Oryzias latipes: one gene and its partner. The main gene of each other region encodes a partner of the protein of the gene in region 2 in a complex. Links are inferred from orthologs where the notes say so. Each region holds a gene or a part of one and is shown on either strand. Other genes may lie near its edges.

Region 1 (9,726 bases), on a different chromosome or scaffold from region 2:
CCCCCGAGGGAGAGACAGATCAGCCTTCTCCCACACAGGCAAGGAGTTCAAGTAGTTCACCACTTCTTCATCCAAGTATGGAAACCTGTAGATACAGCAAATGTTATCACACAGAGTGACAATTATGCTATGATAACTGGAGACAACAGTGTTCACATAGATTCTATTTAACTGCTGATGCAGGTCATATACAGTTGTATTTATATAAAAAATGTAAATCAGCATGACAGACTTTTAAATTAAGTGGGAAACTTAAAAGTTCCAATTACGAACACAGAAAAATACCCAAGATAGATGTATCCAAACGGATACATCTGCTTTCTTTACTTATATCTAATCAAACTAGTTGGTCTTTCAGACCCTCATTTATTTTGTGAACATGGTTGTGTATCACTGGTAAATATGCAATCAGTTCAATTTTGATTCACAAGTTTTTGAGTCGTGTTAAAATATAGATTCAAAAACAATTTTATTTGGTAATAAAAAACAATGTTCAGATAACCAGTGATATAAACTGAATAATGGTGGAAGTTTTGTTAAAATCCTAATTACAATAAAAATGAACAAAGCAGTCTTAAACGACATTTTGAAAGCTAAACTGGAATATGGCCATATTCTCAGTGAACAGGTTTGTGATTATATACAAAAACGTAAACAAAAACAGTTTGAGCTCGGTGATAAAGCTGATTGTGTTCTTGCCAGACAACTCAAAGGTGTCCGGGCTGAAAGGGCAATTCTTAAACTAAACATCCTTTAATGGTGAAATAGTTACAGATCTACTTAGAATAAACAAAACATTTCATGATTTCTACAAAAACGTGTACACCTCAAAAGCTGGGTCCTCTAAGGAGGAAAAAAATCAGTTTTCTTAACAACCTTGACACGCCCACTTTAAGTGATACAGCAAGACAACACTTGGAAGCTGATTTCACGCTGGAAGAAGTTAAGTCTGACATCCATTCATTTCTAAACGACAAGGCTTGCGGACCTGACGGATTTGGGATAGATTTTCTTTTGTACAATTCGTATAGAATTATCAAGCAAATTAGGAAGGTACTCAGTCTGCCGGTCTTATCTATCCACGCTCCCATTTGCCTGAATCCAGCTTTTCAACCAGGTCTGTGAGAGCCTGCATTTACAGTCCGGGATAAAAAGGGCCTCTCATCCATTAAGGATCTCTACATCGACAATCATTTTGCACCCTTTAACCAACTGCAAAAAAAGTTCTCTCTCCCACCGGGTCATTTTTTCAGGTATTTGCAAATCAGACACTTTGTTAAACAAGCTATAACTCAGTTTCAACAACTGCCAACACAACCTATATTTGACAAAGTTTTGATTGAAGCGTCGACATCTAAAAATTTGATTTCAAATTTTGTCAGATGCTTTTATCGACCACCAACAACTGCTCATATTAAGATTGCATGGGCAGATGACATTGGAATAGACATCCCTATTGGTTTGTGGATAAGCGCTTTGAAAGGGATCAAGTCTTGTTCTATAAGTGCACATCTTAAACTCACACAGTTTAAAGTAATCCACGTTTGCATTACTCCAAAACAAGATTGCATACAATTTTTTCTTCTGTTTCACCAACCTGTGACCACTGTCAAACTGGTATAGGTTCTTTATCTCATTCATTTTACTCATGCCCTATGCTAACACATTTTTGGTCGGATATTTTTAAGTTGTTTAGTTCAGTTTACAATGTACAAATAACTCCCAATGTTCTGATTGCTCTGAACAACCAAATATTGCCAACTCAGAAGCTGTCCCACTCAACTCAACAAGCAGTCATGTTTGGAATGATTATAGCTAAGAAGATTATTCTGAAGGAGTGGAAGGCTTCTACTTCCCCTAGTTTCAGGGGCTAAAACCCAGCCTCTCATCTGATGACTATTGTTTACCTTCTTTTGCATTTTCGGGACGAATCCTTCTGTGTTGTTGCTGTATGTGGGTATTTATGCTGTGTTTCTCAATTGTACACTGGCGGCGTTTGTGTTGTGTGTGTTTAAAACTTTGTTAAAAAAGCAATCTTTTTTTTTTTTTTAAATGAACAAAGCCGTTTTTGCCTTAAAAAAATACAATAAATACTTAAAAGGAAACTAAATTCACAGATTTAATGAAGTTAGGATTCTTTTACATAAAGCTTAATTCAGTAATGTTCAACAATCATTTAAAATCCAGACCTATAATAAAAGCACTGGACATTATGGAATCTAGCAAGTTGTTATATGATCATGTCATGTTTCTCATATGCAAATATAACTAGGCTTGATTTAAAAGCATTCTTTCCCAAATAATAGTTTCTTTGATTTTTAAACAAGATGTTTAATATGTGACATTTTTAACATGAGTAGAATGCTATCATATTTATTGATTTGAACACAGAGGCTGCAAAATTAACAAATATGATACAATTTACTCTGCCAGAAAAACAGAAAAAAAATACAATCCCAAATGCGTGAACAAATGAACTATGAGTTATAGTAATTACACGTGAAAACCAAGTCTTTCCTGCCGGCGTGACCTTTGTTTCAACTCTTACCTAGCTTCTTTCCCATGATCTCCTATCACTCTGTCATCTCTGCCCAAGTTTCTGGATGATATTCTTGCCAGCTCCATGGCAAGTTCCTGAATCAGCCCTTCATGCCCAGACATTGAGAATCGTACTCTGTGTCTGGAGTAGCCTGCGAGCTGCTCATCTGCACCAATTCCTGTCAGAATTACCTGCAGGTGTAAAGAGGAAACACAAAATTTCTCTCCAACAGTCGTTTCAATCCATCATACTCCACACAGTAACCATAAACCACAACAGTGACAGATTAGTCAAGAGCAGGATTCAGAGTCTGATGTGTTTCACCTTAGCAGATGATGTGAAGGGTTTCTGCTCCTCCTCTTCTGTAATGACTCCTTTTCCTCTTGCTGCGAACCACACAGCACAGCCAATGCTATCATCTAGTACTGTATCCAGTGGATGAACTAAGTGGCAAATCCGCTCCTGTCGCATTTGTTGCAGCTCTTCTCGAGTTATGTTGATTTCAACAAAATTCCACTGTCGCTCAGGATTCAGGTCTTGTAATTCCTTGAGGCCAGCTTTCCCCGTTATCCTGTCCGGGACATCAAATGGACTGGACGACAGAGAACTGACCTGAACTGTCTCTGAATTGTTGGATTTATTTCTTTGTTTTTTGAGTTTCTTTTCAGGCTGCTTTTTTGGCTCTTTTAGTTTAAAGGCCACATTAAGAAGGTCTATTGGTTGATGAACAGGTACATGTTTGTCTGCTAAGACAGCGAGGATCATTGAATCAATGCCTCCTGAAAAGAGTATAGCAATGCTAGCCTGGCCACTGCTAAGAGGTAAATTATCTTTTGCCACAAAAGGCAACGAATGAACTCGTCGCCTCACCGCCTCACTCAGGACACCAATTAGACGGTTCACAACTTCAGTTTTCTCCTTGCTGATTAGAAACTCCTCTAGATTTCCTCCAGACACCTGTGAACTGGGATTAACTTCAACCTTTTTTTCTGGAATGGACATATTCAAAGGACAAACAGGTGAAGTGATTGATAAACCTGCTCGATTTATCTCAAAATTGCACCCACTAGGGACAGAGTTAACCATCATTTCACTCAATGATGGGTTTATGACATTTCTTGCCCAGGGAAAAAGCTCAAAGGACACAGAACCACTCTGTGCAGCTGCCTTTACATCAACCTTAAACACGCCAACAGCTGGGACTTCTTTCCAATCAGACTGACCCAGCGCAGAAATCCCAGCTGCCACTGAGGTCAAAGTGAAGACACTGATCTCGGCGTCATATTTCCACAGCAAGCTGCGCCTTCCAAAAAGGTCTCTCCCAAACCAGAGATAATCTTCAGCCTTTTGATAGAAAACAAATGCCCAAGGCCCTTGAATGGCAGACAGAAGTGCCAGAACCTCCAAAGAGTTTTTACAAGATGACAATTTCTGACAGATGACAGTGGTGTCATTCTCTTCTGGCATCACAGAAATCCCTCCAAAAACCTCTCCATTCCACATCAAGACATTTCCAGCGTCGTCTTGAAACGGCTGAAGAGTAAGGAGGCCTCTCATATGGAGAACATGGGCAGAAAATGAGCAGTGATAGCTCAAATCTACAGCAGGAAACGATAGCTCCCTGCTAGAGTTGGGGCCCCTTCTCTTCAGAAATTCATAAATTCTTTTGTCCTTCTCAAATTGAGCAGCTGACAAAGTCAACTGGAAAAAGATTCCACACATTGTTGCAGCTCTAAATATCCTGCAGTTCTTTTTTCAAGTAATCCAGTTCCTCTGCAAGAATAAAAATAAAAAAAGTTTTAAAAAAAAAAAGGTGAGTTATATTGTAGTATGGTACAACATTGTAAAAATTTCAATGCAAGAGGATAAATGAATACTAACACATACTTCTGCTTGTAGACAATGTTTGACTTCTGTCAGCCAGGAAGAAAATGTTGCTGTTTCTCTGTTGGATGTAAACTTTCTGAAGAAAAGAAAAAAAAAATCAATAAAAAATGAATTTATTACGACGGATGGATGGATTTATGGATGGATGGATGTAAAAAGGTAATTACCGTACCCTGTTCTTCTTTAGGTTAGAGAGTTCATCCACAACGACCTTTTGCTCTTTGATCTGGAAATTAGCAACAAGTTAACGTTAACAACCCTATGATGATGAAGCCATCAGGAGATGTATCCCATCATGTTAAGTTTTAATTTAAAGATCAGCAGTCCTTCATTTTTCCAGCAAACATGAGAAAATCGAAACTTATTAAAACAGTAAATACATACTATTGGTGCGTAAATACTAACAAAAGTATTGCTATTCGTTTTTCCGTTCTACTATACATGCTGAAAAAGGTGAATAAACATATCCGTGTTGTTTAGCCAGCTAACAGTAGCGCGTCTTTGATATAAAGTTACCTTTTTACTGAGTTCCTCTTTATATGTGGTTTGCTCTTGGGAATTATCGCTGTTATTGTATTTTTTTGAAGACATTTTCATAAAGGAGCCACGAGGGAAAACTTTTTATCTAATTTTTCTCTTAACAGCGTCTACTTCTGCGACAAACATGTCCGGATATGCGTCATAACCGTTCCGGGTGAAGAAATAGGTGGGGAGTTCGAAGCACACTGCCGCCTAGAGGCCAGATTTGTAAAACACCCGCTACACATCTCAGGGTCCGGGGCCTGCCAAATTATAGGTAACCAAGGGGTAAACACAGATTGAATAAGAATGTCTTTAAATAACAGATTTGATGTAATTTACTTTCTTAAGACTAAAAAAATAGTATTGGGCTACTACAAAAAAGTTTTTTAAACGGAATTGGGTTAAAATTTAATCAGCTAAGCAAGTTCGAGACAGAAGAAGTTAGACTTTTCTGTTTCTACCCGGTTTTAATTTTCATTTAAAGTGACACTTCCATATAAGAAAAAAGCAACAAAAAGAAACACTGATTAAATAAAATCAATTAAGCATAAATTAAATAATGAATCCATTGCACATCTGATATGTTGATCATTTTTGATCAGTTTTCAAAACCACCTGAAGCTATTAAGTAGTCTTTAAAAACACCCAATTAACTGTCTGTGTCTTGTTCCTTTTTTTCTTTTCCTTTTTTTTCTGACATCAGAGCCTCTGAAAGCTGCACCTTTGTTAACCCTACCCTTTACTTTAACCCCAGAAACACTTCTTAAAATATTGCTTTTGGGGGGAAATACACCTCCAGCCAATTGTTGCTAGGCTGGAACAGTATCTCTAGTTAAAAAAGTATTTTTTCATTGTTTACTTGTAAAACTAAACTAAAGTAGTGGCTGAAGACAAACCAACCTGCCTTGTCTTAAGATAATTTAGCTTTTTTATATTTTAGTTATAATATGACATGCTTTCATCTGCTGATGTTGAATCATCAAATTAAAAATAACACATGCAAGTGCATTTTTTCGGGGACTAAAGCTTTTTGTTGACTTGATCTGTCTGTAGACGAACAGATGCTTAACCCCCTTTAAAAGCAGTTTCAACCTAACCCCCACCTCCCTGCTCAAAGATCACACAACCAAAAAAAAATGAATGTTGAAATACCTGCTGAACTCTGCAGCTTATTTCAACCTTGTCTTTGCCTTTTTTCTTTTGAAGTCTCTCAGCATTTAAATAGCTTTTGCATACCTCATAGTTGTTTTGTTTTTTTTACTCTTCAGTTTGAGTCAAAACTGTGCCATGAAGCTCCTAAGATGGAGAGAAAGCTAAAATAGTATTTTTCCTTATTTATGCTGCTGGTGATCTATTATTATTGAAAAAAATAAAGTTTGCAGTTGTTGGTAGAGATCAACAGATGACACGAATGTGATTGATTTTTCTTCAGCAGTGGGTCAAACACCTTTTCAGTGCAAACACAACTGTTTCTAGGCAAACACACCTGTGTAAAGTTCTACATTGGTCTTAAACTGAATTGATTTAAAACAGTTTTCAACTGTTGGCTATTTCTTGTAGCATTTTGGACACAGTGAGCATGTCAAAAAGTGACCTTTGGTATTTATTTTTCTTTGGTGGAGTTGGCAGGCTCAGGGTCTTAGAGGTCTGAGGTACTGAGAGATATTCCCAGAAACAATAAGACCACAACAATATCATCCTTCTAAAATGGGTAAAGGTAATTATTATCATTGTTTCTGATGTTCCCAGTCACTTTGATGGTTATTTGTCTCAATGCAGACTTTCAAGAGCTTGCAGAAACCTCCAGGACAGCCTCCAGTCCTGCAACACATTTTTTTTTAAATCTTCAAAACCACTTTTCTTACAAGCTCTTTTGCAAAAGAGACTAAGGGTTCGGTCCAGGTGAGATTTTCCACGCTCCTTCTCGATCCCTTCTTTAGCCATGGCTTCAAGCATCAGGCCGCAGGAGCAGAGTCATATTTATATTTTTATTCTGGAGGGACAAATTTAGCCCACGTAAACACCGCTTGTTGTTCCAAAGCTGGGCTGTAGAAGGGGCAGACATACCTGCAGGTCACATGGCCACAAAATAACAGAGCAGCCGTCTAACCGCTGATGACAGCCACCTGAGACACCGGCCCACTAATAGTGTGGCTGGTAATCTGTTTGTACCAGCTCAATGTGCGCGGATTTTGAAAAGGATGAGAGTTTTCTGTGAACCCTGAATAGATCACAATGGGATTGGCATAGCTATTGTTACAACCTGACTCAGAATATATTCTTATGTTAGTGAAGGCTGCCGGTTTAGCTCCTTCATGCAATGAGACAGCAGACTAACTGCTTGGGGTCCAGGAAAAAATGCACCTGATTTCGTTTCACATGTCCAGAGTGTGGGTTTCACTTAAAACTACATATACATAAAACACAGCAGTGACATGCTGAATGGTTAATTACAGGAACAACAAAAGCAGCTGCAATTTTATAGTTATTTTGCTTTCTAAATTACATTATGCTATAATTCACAACCTGGGTGCTAACTTTGTATCAAGACAATCAATGGATGACACGGTTGTTGTCATGGAATCAGGGGTGTTCCTGCTCTCATCTAAAATCAACCATCATTTATTGTGCTGCAATTGAAGGGAGTATATTCATAGTTTCCATCAAAAAATTGACAAACATGTTTAAAAATCAGCAAAATCCTTTTGAGATTTTAGTTAAAGTTCCGCATTGTCATTTTCTCACTTGGCCTTTGTGGAGTTTCCTTAGTTAAAAATGAATATGTTGTCTTTAGCTGTCAGTTTTGAGGCCGGTGTAAACCTTTCAAATCATAAAAAAGTTTCCAAAACAGACTAGAGCCACATTGTTTTCATCAAATTTTTTTATGCTTACAAGTCTATAAATAGAAAAGAAAAGTTTAAACTTATGAGCTTTAAAGAATTTAAATCTTTTTTTTTTTATCAACTCATCATCTGAAAAACTTTCACCAAATTTGACAATTAACACAAACTTTGTAAATAACGTCCTCAATAAGTAAGTAGAAGAAAACAGAGTTTCGTCAAAGTTTGGTAAAGCCACTTTTTTGGTAAAAATTTGTTGGATCAATCTTGCAGAAGAAGAAAAAAGAAAAATCTAAAGCTTATTTGTGACCCTTTTTTAGGCCTAAAGCGCAGTAAAAATTTGACAGGGTGCATTTGTTTTGTGTTTGTTTGAGCATGCACACTGCAGAGAAAATCTATAAAAACTGGTCTGACCAGTTAAGAGATTTTGCGATTGTGGCCGTAAAGGTTAAACAAAACAATCCTAGATCCACACAAAAAACAAACACTAAACCAGTTTGAGAATTTTAAAGACATGATGAAAATGAATGGTACTTTTAAATAATCTTTATTTGCAACAAAAGCTTTAAAGATTTTTTTCAAACATTATATTCTTAGTTTTACATGTTAGAACAAAATTACTTTGACTGTTTTCTTTATTAAAAAAAATAGATTGTTGAGAGTTCCAGTGATATACTTGTGCAAAATTCTCCCAAAGTCTTCCCACAGCTTTCAGATAGGAGTCTGAGAAAGCCACTGCAATACTTCCACTTTGTATCCCTTTTTTGTTGAGTACTGGTGGCTGTGAGCCATTTAATGAGCATCGTTTTTCCACCAATGTCCACAAAAACTGGTTTGACATGATGTCTTTGAGCTGACAATGTCTGTAAAAATGTGCTGATGAGTGACAGCTGCAGTTCAGGGGGCAGACCTTTTTTCTGCCTGTCAGTCAGCTGTCGTTTCACCATGCCTTGATAATTATTGTGTAGGCATTTAAAAAAATAAGAGTTTGAGATTGCGTTTTTCCAAAATACTTTTGATGTCTTTTAGTTTCTTTAAAACACATTTTAAGTTTAAATAAAAAAAAAGCAAAAACTGCAGCTAAAAGGCTTTTGCGATTGTGTTGAATCAAGCTGAATTTTTTGAAAACAGTTTCACATTTTCAATCAAATTATGCTTTAGAGGTATATTCTTAGTCAGAAACACACCACTTATCCTATTTTTGTATTTCAGTACTGTCAAAAGTACGTGCAAGTTCTCCTAAAGTGAATAATATGAAAACCACAGAAAAGCAGCTGCTGGATGAAGCAAGACAATACTGTTCTGCGTCTGTGGGCAGATGTCATCACAGCCCACTAAAAGTCACAAAGACATCACTGCAGAATAGCCGTGAGGTTTTAGTGATGACATGAGGTAAGACAAGTCCAACTCAGCTGCAGAAAGCCCTTCAAAGTGCACAGATTGATTTGTGTAGTTCAAGTGTCAATTTATCCGACTGTTAACTACTCGTTATGTTTGAGTAAACAAAATGACTCTGAGATTACTTCCAGTAAATATTTTCATTGAGCCAGACCAAAACTGCTAAAATGCTTCTATGGTTTATCAAACAACATCAGATTTAAAAAGGTTTTTGGAACATTTGAGATTTAACACCTTTTCCCTCTTTGTTGTGTGTTTTTGACTAATTCTATATTCAAATAAAAAAGAACCAACATTTTGTTATGGGATCAGTAAAATTGAGATGTGTAAAAACATTCCTTAATAGTACGCCCCTTTGAATTTATACAAGTAATCCAAAAATGATTTTCATTTTTTTAAATCCTACAATAAATACAGGAAGACGTGATTGGTAAAGTTATTTAGTTGGTTTATAAAAATGTTATCTAACATTGTACGATGAAAGATTTGAGCAACTTATGCTTAGAAATTTCTTTTGCATGAAGTTGACATTCACATTCT
Region 2 (10,036 bases):
AAATGTCAGCCCAAGGTTCAAGTAACTTTGAAAGAATTCGGTCTCTCTGGTCTCCCATAGCTAACTCCGTGACTTAGGGGGTGGGGGGGCATGGTCGTCGCTGCTCCTTGCCCTTCTGCCGTGGGCCGGGGTGGGGGTCGGGGCCTCCGGTGCCTGGCCGGGGGTGGTGGGGGCTCCGTTGGTCGGTTCCGGCGCCTGGGTGGGGCGGCCTGGGGCGCTGCGTGGTCCTCTGGGCTTGGGTGTGGGGGTGCGTGGTGGGGGGGTGGGGTGGTGGTCTGGCTTGGCTTGGGGGGTGGTCCCTTTGCCTGTGCTGGGGGGGGTTGGCGGGGGGCGCTGCTCGGGGGTGGGGCCCAGCGGCGCTGGATGGGCTTCCCATCTACACCTGGGGCTGGGATCGGCCCTTCCCTGGCTCTGGGGCGGGACGGGGCAACCCTCTTGGGGCCCCCGGTCGCTCTGGGTGTCCTCCGCTTCGGCTGCGGGGTCTGGGGTGGGGGTGGGGTGGGGGTCTTGTCGGCCCTGTCCTGTGGGGGGGCATTCTGGGGGAGGGGGGGGGGCACTATTGGTACGGGGCAGAGGGGGTTGACGGGTCGGGGTCTCCGCTGAGGCCATCGGCGGTTTCCCCGGCAGGTTGGCTGCCTCGGTCCCGTCGAGGCCTGACCAGAGCTCTTCTAGGGCCGCCGTTTGGGGGTGGGGGCCTGGGCTTGCTCCGGGGGGGGCCGGCGCTTTCTGGCTCCTCTCTCTCTGTGTGGGGGTGGTGGTGCTGGGCCTGGGGTGTCTGCGCCTCCGGGGGTGGGGCCCCGGGGCTGGGTGGGCCTGGCCCCCTTGCTGGGGGGGGGGGGGGGGGCGGGGGACAGCTGTTTGACCACCGGGGGACAGTCTATCATCTGTCCCCAACTTACCCCCTTCCTCATATAACCTCATAATAGGGTGAGGGGGTGGGGGGCTTAGCCTGCGATGAGCCTTGGGGGGGGGGTTTACTAGGCAGTGGCCCCCCTCCTGTGGTTGCCGTATGGAGTGGGCCCCCCCTCTTTCGGTTTTATTTGCACCTTAGACATGTAGGGCCCTTGGTAGGGGGGGTGCTTGGACATCACTGCCAGCAAGCAGCGGATGTCCTCCTAGCACCCTACCCGCCAATTTTAACCGCACCTTAGACATTTAGGGCCCCTTGGTGGGGAGGGTGAGGGGACGTCACTGTGAGTAATCAGGAGATGTCCCCTTAGTGCCCTACCCGCCAATTTTAACCGCACCCCCCTTAGTACACACACCCCTCCCCCCTCAATATATACATCCCAACATAAACACACCCACATGCACACACACACCCTTTCAAACACATCTACACGCACACACATTTTGCAAGGAAGGTGGGACCTGGGTCCGTCTGTCCCCTGCCTCTTCCCTGGTGGGGGGTACGGGCCCCTTTGCAGCGGCGGCCGTGTCCCCGGGGTGCCGGCTTCCTGGGCCCGGCGGTGCTCTCTCCGCGCGGTGGGGGGGTTCACATTACATCTGAGCCGGGGGTGTCTGGTCCCTGGGGGGTGGGTTCTGGTCCTTGCTCCTGAGTGCTGGGCCCCGCCAAATTTCCAACTGTGGCCGAGCCTGGTCGGGCCATATTTACAACACCCCTTGTGGGCCCTCTTTTTTCCCCGGGGTTCCCCCCTCCTGGGCGGGGGCGGCGGGCCCCTGCCTCGCTCCTCCCTGGACCAACCGTGGACCGGGCGGGTGGCTGCCTGGAGTGCGGAGCGGGTCTCCCTTGGGGGGTCCTGGCTCGTACCTGGGGTTGGGGCGGGGGGATGCCCGGAACTCCTGGGTGGTGGTGGGGTGCTCGTTTGGGGCTGTGGGCGTCCTTCTCCGGTGGGGCCCTGCGTTGGGTTCTCCCGGCGCGGCGGGGGGGCTGCTCTCCTGGTTGGGCGGGGGCGGCGCTGTCTTTTCCTCTGTGCGTCCCTGGCCTCTGGCTCTGGGGGCCTTGCGGCGGCCCTGCTGGCCCTGGCCTGGGTGGCGGGCTTGGTCGCCCGGGCGGCGGTTGTTCCCTGCCGGTTCCCGTGTGGCGTTGGGGGGATTCCGGCTGCCGCTGCTGCTGCGGTGGGGGTCTTGGGGTGGGGATGGCTGGGCACTCTCCCTCCTTCTTTTCACGTTCCACCATCCATTTTAGAAGAACACCTGCAGCTAGCAGGTGTGTTTAAAACATTTGAGTGTGTGTGTGGACAGGCTCCGCCCCTTTTTTTTCTTTCTTTTTTTCTACATTTGAACCTTACCATAATGATTAACAACCAGTAAACTTGTTGCTTTATGCTGCTTCATGGTCTTATCCCCCTTCCCCTCCTATTATCACCCCCTACCCCCCCTCTCTCTAACGTCCCTCTCTCTTCTTCCCCTCTTTCCTTTTCCGTCCGGTCCAACACCAAAGATTTTCAGACATGATTGAAATTAATAAAGTTTGGCCTCAATTACAAAAGGGGTTTATTCAGACATACCTTTGGTTTGTCTGAAGATTAATAACCCCTCTTGTTAAAGTAAATTATGTCCAACACAAGAGGCCCTCAGCTCTCATCTGTCTGCCTAGCTGTTGGACAGGACAAGTTAAAAAAAAAAAATGATAATTTGATCAGAACCGGATTTCAAAAACTGTAAAACTATCAAATATACTAACTCAGTAGGGGTGGGGTTATATAAACCCTCTTCATCCCGCTTCTTTTCAAGCAATAAATCAAACTCCACTTAACTTTTTGTCTTTTTAAGCTATGCATTTTATCATTTCTGTAATGAGTTTGATAAATATGTGAAATTTTCTTTATTTCTTTGACTACAATGATTGAAATTAATCAAATCAAATCAAATCATGAGTGAAGAGCTTGAAACCACCGACTGACAGTCTCTACAGTCCCAAAAGTTTCTCTTTGATCAAGAAACGGTGAAAAGTAACAGGTTCCAAATCGACACTTTTTGCACAAAATGACAGAATGAATGTGTGTAGCAGACCCTGCTGTTTAATGAACTTACACACCAAAAAGAACTTTGATAAGAACGCGAAAAATGCTTTAAATGACGTTATAATTTAGATTTTACATTGCACCAGCAAGCAGCACTGATTTGATGCAACGACATGCAGATTGTTGAATTCACTTGCACAGCAATTCAAATGAAAGGCCAGAAAGAAAGTAACAATTCTCTTGCAATTTTCCAAATAAGTCCGGCAAGCGCTGGACTTTTTTCAGTACCGTCCCAGTGTAGGTACCATAACAGTTCGGCCTGCAACAACCGTTCAGGGTCCTTCGACTAGTGCTGACGTCACATTATGTGATGACTGTCTGTTGGTCCAATGACGTGTCAGGTAGTGATTGGTCTGGACAAATGACAATACTACCATAGAAGAAGATATTATACGGTCCGTTGTAAACAAACAGAGCTCCGACACAGAGCGACATTATCTTCTAAACGTGCTTTTAATATTATGATTATTATTAGGTGCATTGCAGATGAATGGACTGCGTTCAGAACCCTTCTCCAGACCGCACACTATGACAAAGCAGCTTCCCTGCCTGTAAACACGAAGCTACGAGACTCCAGCTGCTCTGCTCAGAGACAGGGTTCACTCTGTGGAGCAGCAGGTTCATTCTAGCAGCCACAGATCTTTACAAAGGGGGTTGTGGCAAAATCTCTATAAACACTACAAAGAATAATGTCAGACACAACTTAAGAGGGAAAAGAACTTTATGTTATAAAAGGAAACGTGAAATGAGAATATGTAGAGCCCGAGCAGATCTCCACGCTACGTAGTTTGTCCAAGTGGGGCTACCGTAATGTGACATCATCCTCAGTCGAAAGGACCCCAAACGGTTATTGCAGGCTGAATGGTTATGCTACCTACACCAGCTGCTGTTGAACAAAGGCGGCTAAAGCCTGGACAGTCTGTCCCAGGGCCCATGGAGCTGGAGCGGTTGATCTCACTATGCGGCTCCCAGGAGGCGAGCTGGGGGCCAGACAGAGACCTGCTGCAGGATGGGGAGCCAGCCTGCTCTGACCTCCTGAACTTTAGGTTTTCTTTCAGGTCTCTCTATATATAACATATATATAATCTCATCATCCTCTCCCTCATGGTGCAGAGACCTAAGCATAGTAGGACAAATAACTGGGCAAAACACAATAAAAACAGCTAAACAACTAAACACATTTGGTCAAAAAGCCACACTTAAACCCAAATCCGTCCAGACAGGCAAAGGGAATGCTATCCCACAATCCCTTGCGGTGCCGATCTAACAGCAGCACCAAAGTTACACCTACTCAATTGAATTAATTTGAATGAAAGTAAAATAACTGTCTGACAACTATGTGTTATTTTTAAGTTGACTGAACTGAAAAAAATTATTTATCTTAACTGAAGCAAATAATGAAGTTAGATCAAAGTAAAAAAGTTTATCTTTCCAACATCCATATGTGGTCTTATCACCCTCTCATGGTGTAAAAAGTATTATCTGAGCTTCTTCATCCACTAAATCATCTTCAAATGGACACGCCATGCTGCTTCACCTCTCTGTAAACAAACTAACCTTCAACTAAACCTGCTCCAGACCAGGTTATGTTCAGAGCATGAGTTGCTATGGCAACTTGACATAACCTGAAACATACCTCTATTTCTGGAACTGAAAGCTGAGGTTATCAACTTCCTTAGCCTCAAACGTACCGAGGGAGCTAGCATAACCTGCTTTCTTTTTTTTTTTTTTTAATAAACTTTATTGAAGATATACAAGATACTCATTCAAGTAAATTTTAAGTACACAGATAAAAAAAAAGAGTAACAAAATGTGCCAGGGGAACAAAAGAACAAAGGAGAAGAAAGAAGAAAAAAAAAATTATAAACAAGAGCAGAAAAAGCAGTAAGTTGCTATTCTGTACATTTAAAAAAATTCCAGGGTGTCAAAGGTTCTTATAGCTTTGGGGTTGGAAGAATGTTTTATTGCTTTGATATATTGGTTCAACTCAATCATAAAAAGTTTGAATAAGGGCTTTTTTTCAGAAAATTTGCATTTATGTATGTGGAATTTGGCTAGTATTATCAAAAGGTTAATTAAATAGTATTCCCTTCTTAGTGAATTATTAACACTATAAAAACCAAATAATATATCCTTGTATACCAAATCAAATTTTTCATAAATTTAACATCGAACAAAGGAGGTAAGGTCTTTCCAAAAAATTGCTGTTGGGGGGCATTTCCAGAAAAGATGTATAATTGTTTCAGTGTCTAATTTACAAAAGGAGCAATTTTTATCAATGTCTATGTGTAATGAGGATTTGGCTGGGTAGCATCTGTGAAGAAGTTTAAAACAAACATCCCGGGGTTTATTTGAAATAAAATATTTAGAGGACAAAGTCCAAACTTTCTTCCATTCAATATCTGGGGCAATTTTTCTCCAATAGTGGGTGCATAACCTGCTTTCTGGAATACTCCCCTGGGCCTTTGTGACGTCACAACACCGCATTAGTTCAAACAGAGCGTCTTTGAGACAGTTTGATTGACAGCGGTTTAAAAGGAGAAACACTCAGAAATGCAAAAATGAAACCATGTCTAATTCCATTTGTTGTATTTCATAAGACAAATACCACAATGTCACAAAACATGATTTTCATCAGAGGGGGACTTTCAGAACCGGAGCAGAACCCAGAGGGGCTTACCGCAGGTCTCTCCTCAGAACTTCCTCGATGAATCTTTCATACTGAAGGACCTTCTCTTCCATCCTCGAGTCAGAACCGGCGTCTGTGGGCGGAGTCATCGGGGATGGGGGGCTAATGCGGGGGCTCTGCGGGCCGGTTCAGCTCAGACACTTGTAAAGAAGTTCACAGCCCCACATGCAGTCATCTAAACAAGATTCTGAACCGGAAGTACTCCGACAAGATACTTCCAGGTTTCAGCGTAGAAGAGGAGCAGAAAAAAGAACATTTAATTTCTTTTTATGTTTAAAGCACTTTGTGCAAACAGTTGTTATTTGGTCATTTTCACTTACATTTATTCTTCCATATTCTACCAGATATATAGAACGTGGCAATTATTCATAAACTAATTCCCGGGTTAAACCTTATGTGAATATGAATTTTAAAATATATATGTTTTTGTTTAATGGCTGGTTGTGCTAATTTTATTTATTCTTCTTCGTTGTTTTATTTTCGTTGATTTGGATTGTCCTGTGATGACGTCACTGTCAACAAACATGGCGGAGAGCTGCGTTGACTATAGTTGAAACGTTTTCAAAATATCTCGTCAAGTGCCAAAGGACAGCGCACATTTGGTGTCGCGTACATGTCATCAGCTTTACGCATCAAGTAAATATCCAGCACTATACTAAATATTCAACGATATACTAAAGTTTCGTAGTTTTATTTATCAGATGTGACCGAGGCAACATCAGCGCCCACTTCCGGTCTCGTTCCGTTCAAAATGTCGTGCTTATTTTGGTTGGACGCGCCGGAGCCCCGCTCTTAAAACCCGTGGACTAAAAACCGTTAAGTAAAGGAACAAGTCCAAGTCCATAAAGATCCCCGCTGCAGCTGCAGGGGTCCTGGATGATCATGGAGCAGTACAGCATCCTAGGCCGGATTGGAGAAGGGGCTCACGGAATCGTGTTTAAGGCCAAGCACGTGCAGGTGAAACATGTTCATGGAGCAGAAAAAACAGACACCTGAACAGGTGATCATTCAGGCTGATGGATGAACGTGTTTCTGACAGACCGGGGAAACTGTGGCTCTAAAGAAGGTGGCTCTGAGGAAGCTGGAGGACGGCATTCCCAATCAGGCTCTGAGGGAGATCAAGGCTCTGCAGGAGATTGAGGACAACCAGCACGTGAGTGTGTACAGTCGTGGTCAAAGGTTTGGAGAATGACGTAAATATTGTTGGAAATTGGAAAATAATTGCTGCTTAAATACATATAATAGCATTTTGCATATACTCCATAATGTTATGATGATCAGATGAATTGCATAGTCCTTCTTTGCCATAAAAATGAACTTAATCCCCCAAAACTCTTTCCACGGCATTTCATTGGTGTCATTAAAGAACCAGCTGAGATCATTTCATTCATCGTCTTGTTAACTCAGGTGACAATGTTGACGAGCACCAGGCTGGAGATCATTCTGTCAGGCTGATGGGGTTAGAATGGCAGACTTGACATGTTAAAAGGAGGGTGATGCCTGGAATCATTAATCTTCCATTGGTAACCATGGTAACCTGCAAAGAAACGTGTGCAGCCATCACTGTATTGCATAAAAATTGATTCAAAGGGGAGGGTATTGTGGCAACTAAGATTGCATCTAAATCAACAATTTATAGGATCATAAAGAACATTTTTGGAGAGACGCCACTTCTCTCCAAAAACATTTCTGATTGCTTGGGGAATCTGCAGAAAAGGTGAGCGCTACCATCAGTCCTGTGTGACGCCAACAGTAAAGCATCCTGAGACCATTCATGTGTGGGGTTGTTTCCCATCCAGGGGAGGGGGCTCACTCACAATTCAGCCCAAAACACAGCCATGAATAAAGAATAGTACCAAAACACCCTCCAACAATAACTTCTTCCAACAACATTTTGGTGACAAACATGCATTTTCCAGAACCATGGAGCACCGGGCCATAAGGCTAAAGTGATAACTAAGTGGCTCTGGGACCAAAACGTTGAAATTGTGGGTCCATGGCCTGGAAACTCCTCAGATCTTTTGGTCAATCCTCAAGAGGCGGTTGGACAAACAAAAACCCACTAATTCTGACAAACTCCAAGAAGTGATTCTGAAAGAATGGGTTACTATCAGTCAGGAAGTTGATAGAGAGCATGTCCACTGGAACTGCAGAGGTTCTGAAAAAGAAGGGCCAACACTGCAAATACTGATGTCATTGTTGATAAAAGCCTTTGAAGCGTATGAAGTGCTTGTAATTCTATTTCAGTTATATTACAGAGAAAACTGAAACAAAGATCTAAATGCAGGTTAGCAGCTAACTCTGTGAAAACTACGATTTGAGTCATTCTCCAACTGACTGTACAGTCATGGCCAAAGGTTTTGAGAATGTGGGAGGTTTTTTTGGGATGATGTTAATTTTCATGGCAAAGAAGGACTATGCAATTCATCTAATCACTCATAACATTCTTGATTATATGCAAATTTCTATTATAAAAACTTAAGCAGCAAAAAAACTGAAACAAAGATCTAAAGCAGTGTTGCAGCAAACTTTGTGAGAACTAATATTTCTGTCATTCTCAAAACTTTTGGCCACAACTGTACAGTACTGAATTGTTCTATACAGCAGAACAGCATCAGAGAAAAGAACAAAACAGGATTTGACAGAGACTAAGGATCTGCTAGAGACTGGGACACGACAAAAAGCACTGATCTGGCAGAGAGCAGGGAACTGATAGAGACCAATGACCTGACAAAAAAAAGTATCTGATAAAGACTTGGACCTAACGGACATCAATGACCCAATAGACCATGCTGAGGCTAGAAACCAACAAACTTACTTGGAACAAGGACCAATGACCTCACAGAGAACATGGACCCAACTGAGACTGGAATTGTTTGTCACAATGTGACGTGTGGGGTTCGGGTCTGCAACGACGAATGTCGCGCATTTCATCAAGTTTCCTCAATGTTTAGTCGGTGGTTTTGGGGACCTATTTTATCTTGTACCTTTCACGAAGCTGTGATATCGATCCAAATCATGAGAAAGCCGCCGTTGGCTCACAAAAGTCTGCTACGTCTACTGTACCTTGTTCTGAATCTAAATCACAGTATAAGCTATCCCAGTAAGCACATCAACACATATATTAACACGCGGAAACCAAGTTCTTCAGTGGTGAAGTGAAGATGTGCAAACAACATGCGTGTGTTCGGCAACCTGAGACCACAGACCTGACTGAGACCATGAAGGTGACAGACTCAGGGACCTGACGGAGGCTGTCCAGGCTTGTCATTGGTCTGAGAAGGGAATACCCTTTAGTCAGCTGGACTTTGGTGTTGACTTGAAAAGGTTGTGGGTGAGTGAAGCCTCTCTGTCTGCCTTTTTCAGGTGGTAAAGTTGAAGGACGTCTTTCCTCACGGCACAGGCTTTGTCCTGGTCTTCAACTTCATGCTGTCAGATCTCTCTGAGGTGATCAGAAACCACCAGCGACATCTGACCCCAGCACAGGTCAAAGGCTACATGGTGATGTTGCTAAAGGGTGTGGCCTTTCTACACCAAAACAACATCATGCATCGGGTGAGTGCCTGTGTGTAGAAAACGTGGTAGTCAGGTTTTTCTCTTGGTAAAGGAAGGAGCCAAAATGTAGTGTATTTGCACATTTCCTTTTCTACTTAGTAGTTTTGCATGTTTCACCTTTCTTAATTTGTTTATTAGCGACCCCTGGGTGGAATACTAGATGAGCACTTTCTCACCTGCAGTTGGAATGAAGGAGAGGAGATCTTGGGGTGTTTATTTCTGTTGACCGCTGTTTCGTGCCACTTTGTTGCTATCGGGTTCTTTGCGGTCACCCTTTCTGGTCTGGTCTTGGTCAATCAGGTTCATTAACTCATACAAAGTCAACTTATTTTATCCCTTTGGTTTTTTTGTGTAAAAAAAATCAAAACAACAGAACTGACTGTGGCATATCAGGGGTTGACATAGCCCAGAAATTTGCACTGGCCCAGAGGGCCAGTAGTTTTTGAAAGTTACTGGCCCGACACCGCCCACAGCGAGACCCGCCGCTCCGCAGGTGCTTGCAACTTTTGGGGGGTCCGGGTGCATGCCCCCGGAAAATTTTAATATGGTGCAATTTGGTGCATTCTGGTGACATCTAGCACTTATTTATACACTTTTCAATGACTGAAAATAGACCATATCAAACTCAAATCTGCTCTAGTCTGTTTCAGATTTTTTGAAGAGAGCACTGCAGTGTAGTAGTTAACACTAGTTAAGAAGTTTTCATGCTGCCTCTAATCACTGCTATTTCACATTTGTTCCTAATCAATAGTTAAGAAGTTTTATTGACTTTTTTGCTCTGACTGCCTTAAGGTTCTGCTTTTTG

The links.
Region 1: uxt (region 2) and ASNSD1 upstream open reading frame protein share a complex: the UniProt entries of both Homo sapiens proteins name them as parts of the PAQosome complex. The link is inferred for Oryzias latipes from reciprocal best matches to the Homo sapiens genes UXT and ASDURF.

The regions. Positions count from the first base shown.
Region 1 is NC_019879.2:16,669,045-16,678,770, reverse strand, and holds ASNSD1 upstream open reading frame protein, read right to left. Parts: upstream 5,103-9,726; 5' UTR 5,024-5,102; coding exon 4,943-5,023; intron 4,653-4,942; coding exon 4,599-4,652; intron 4,503-4,598; coding exon 4,427-4,502; intron 4,313-4,426; coding exon 4,272-4,312; 3' UTR 4,262-4,271; downstream 1-4,261. Other genes in the region: asnsd1 (asparagine synthetase domain-containing protein 1), read right to left, coding at 1-85, 2,549-2,730, 2,864-4,261.
Region 2 is NC_019865.2:33,762,856-33,772,891, forward strand, and holds the start of uxt (protein UXT), read right to left. Parts: upstream 5,889-10,036; 5' UTR 5,766-5,888; coding exon 5,668-5,765; intron 1-5,667. Other genes in the region: cdk20 (cyclin-dependent kinase 20), read left to right, coding at 6,553-6,633, 6,716-6,829, 9,043-9,231. UniProt on the Homo sapiens protein: Involved in gene transcription regulation. Acts in concert with the corepressor URI1 to regulate androgen receptor AR-mediated transcription. Together with URI1, associates with chromatin to the NKX3-1 promoter region.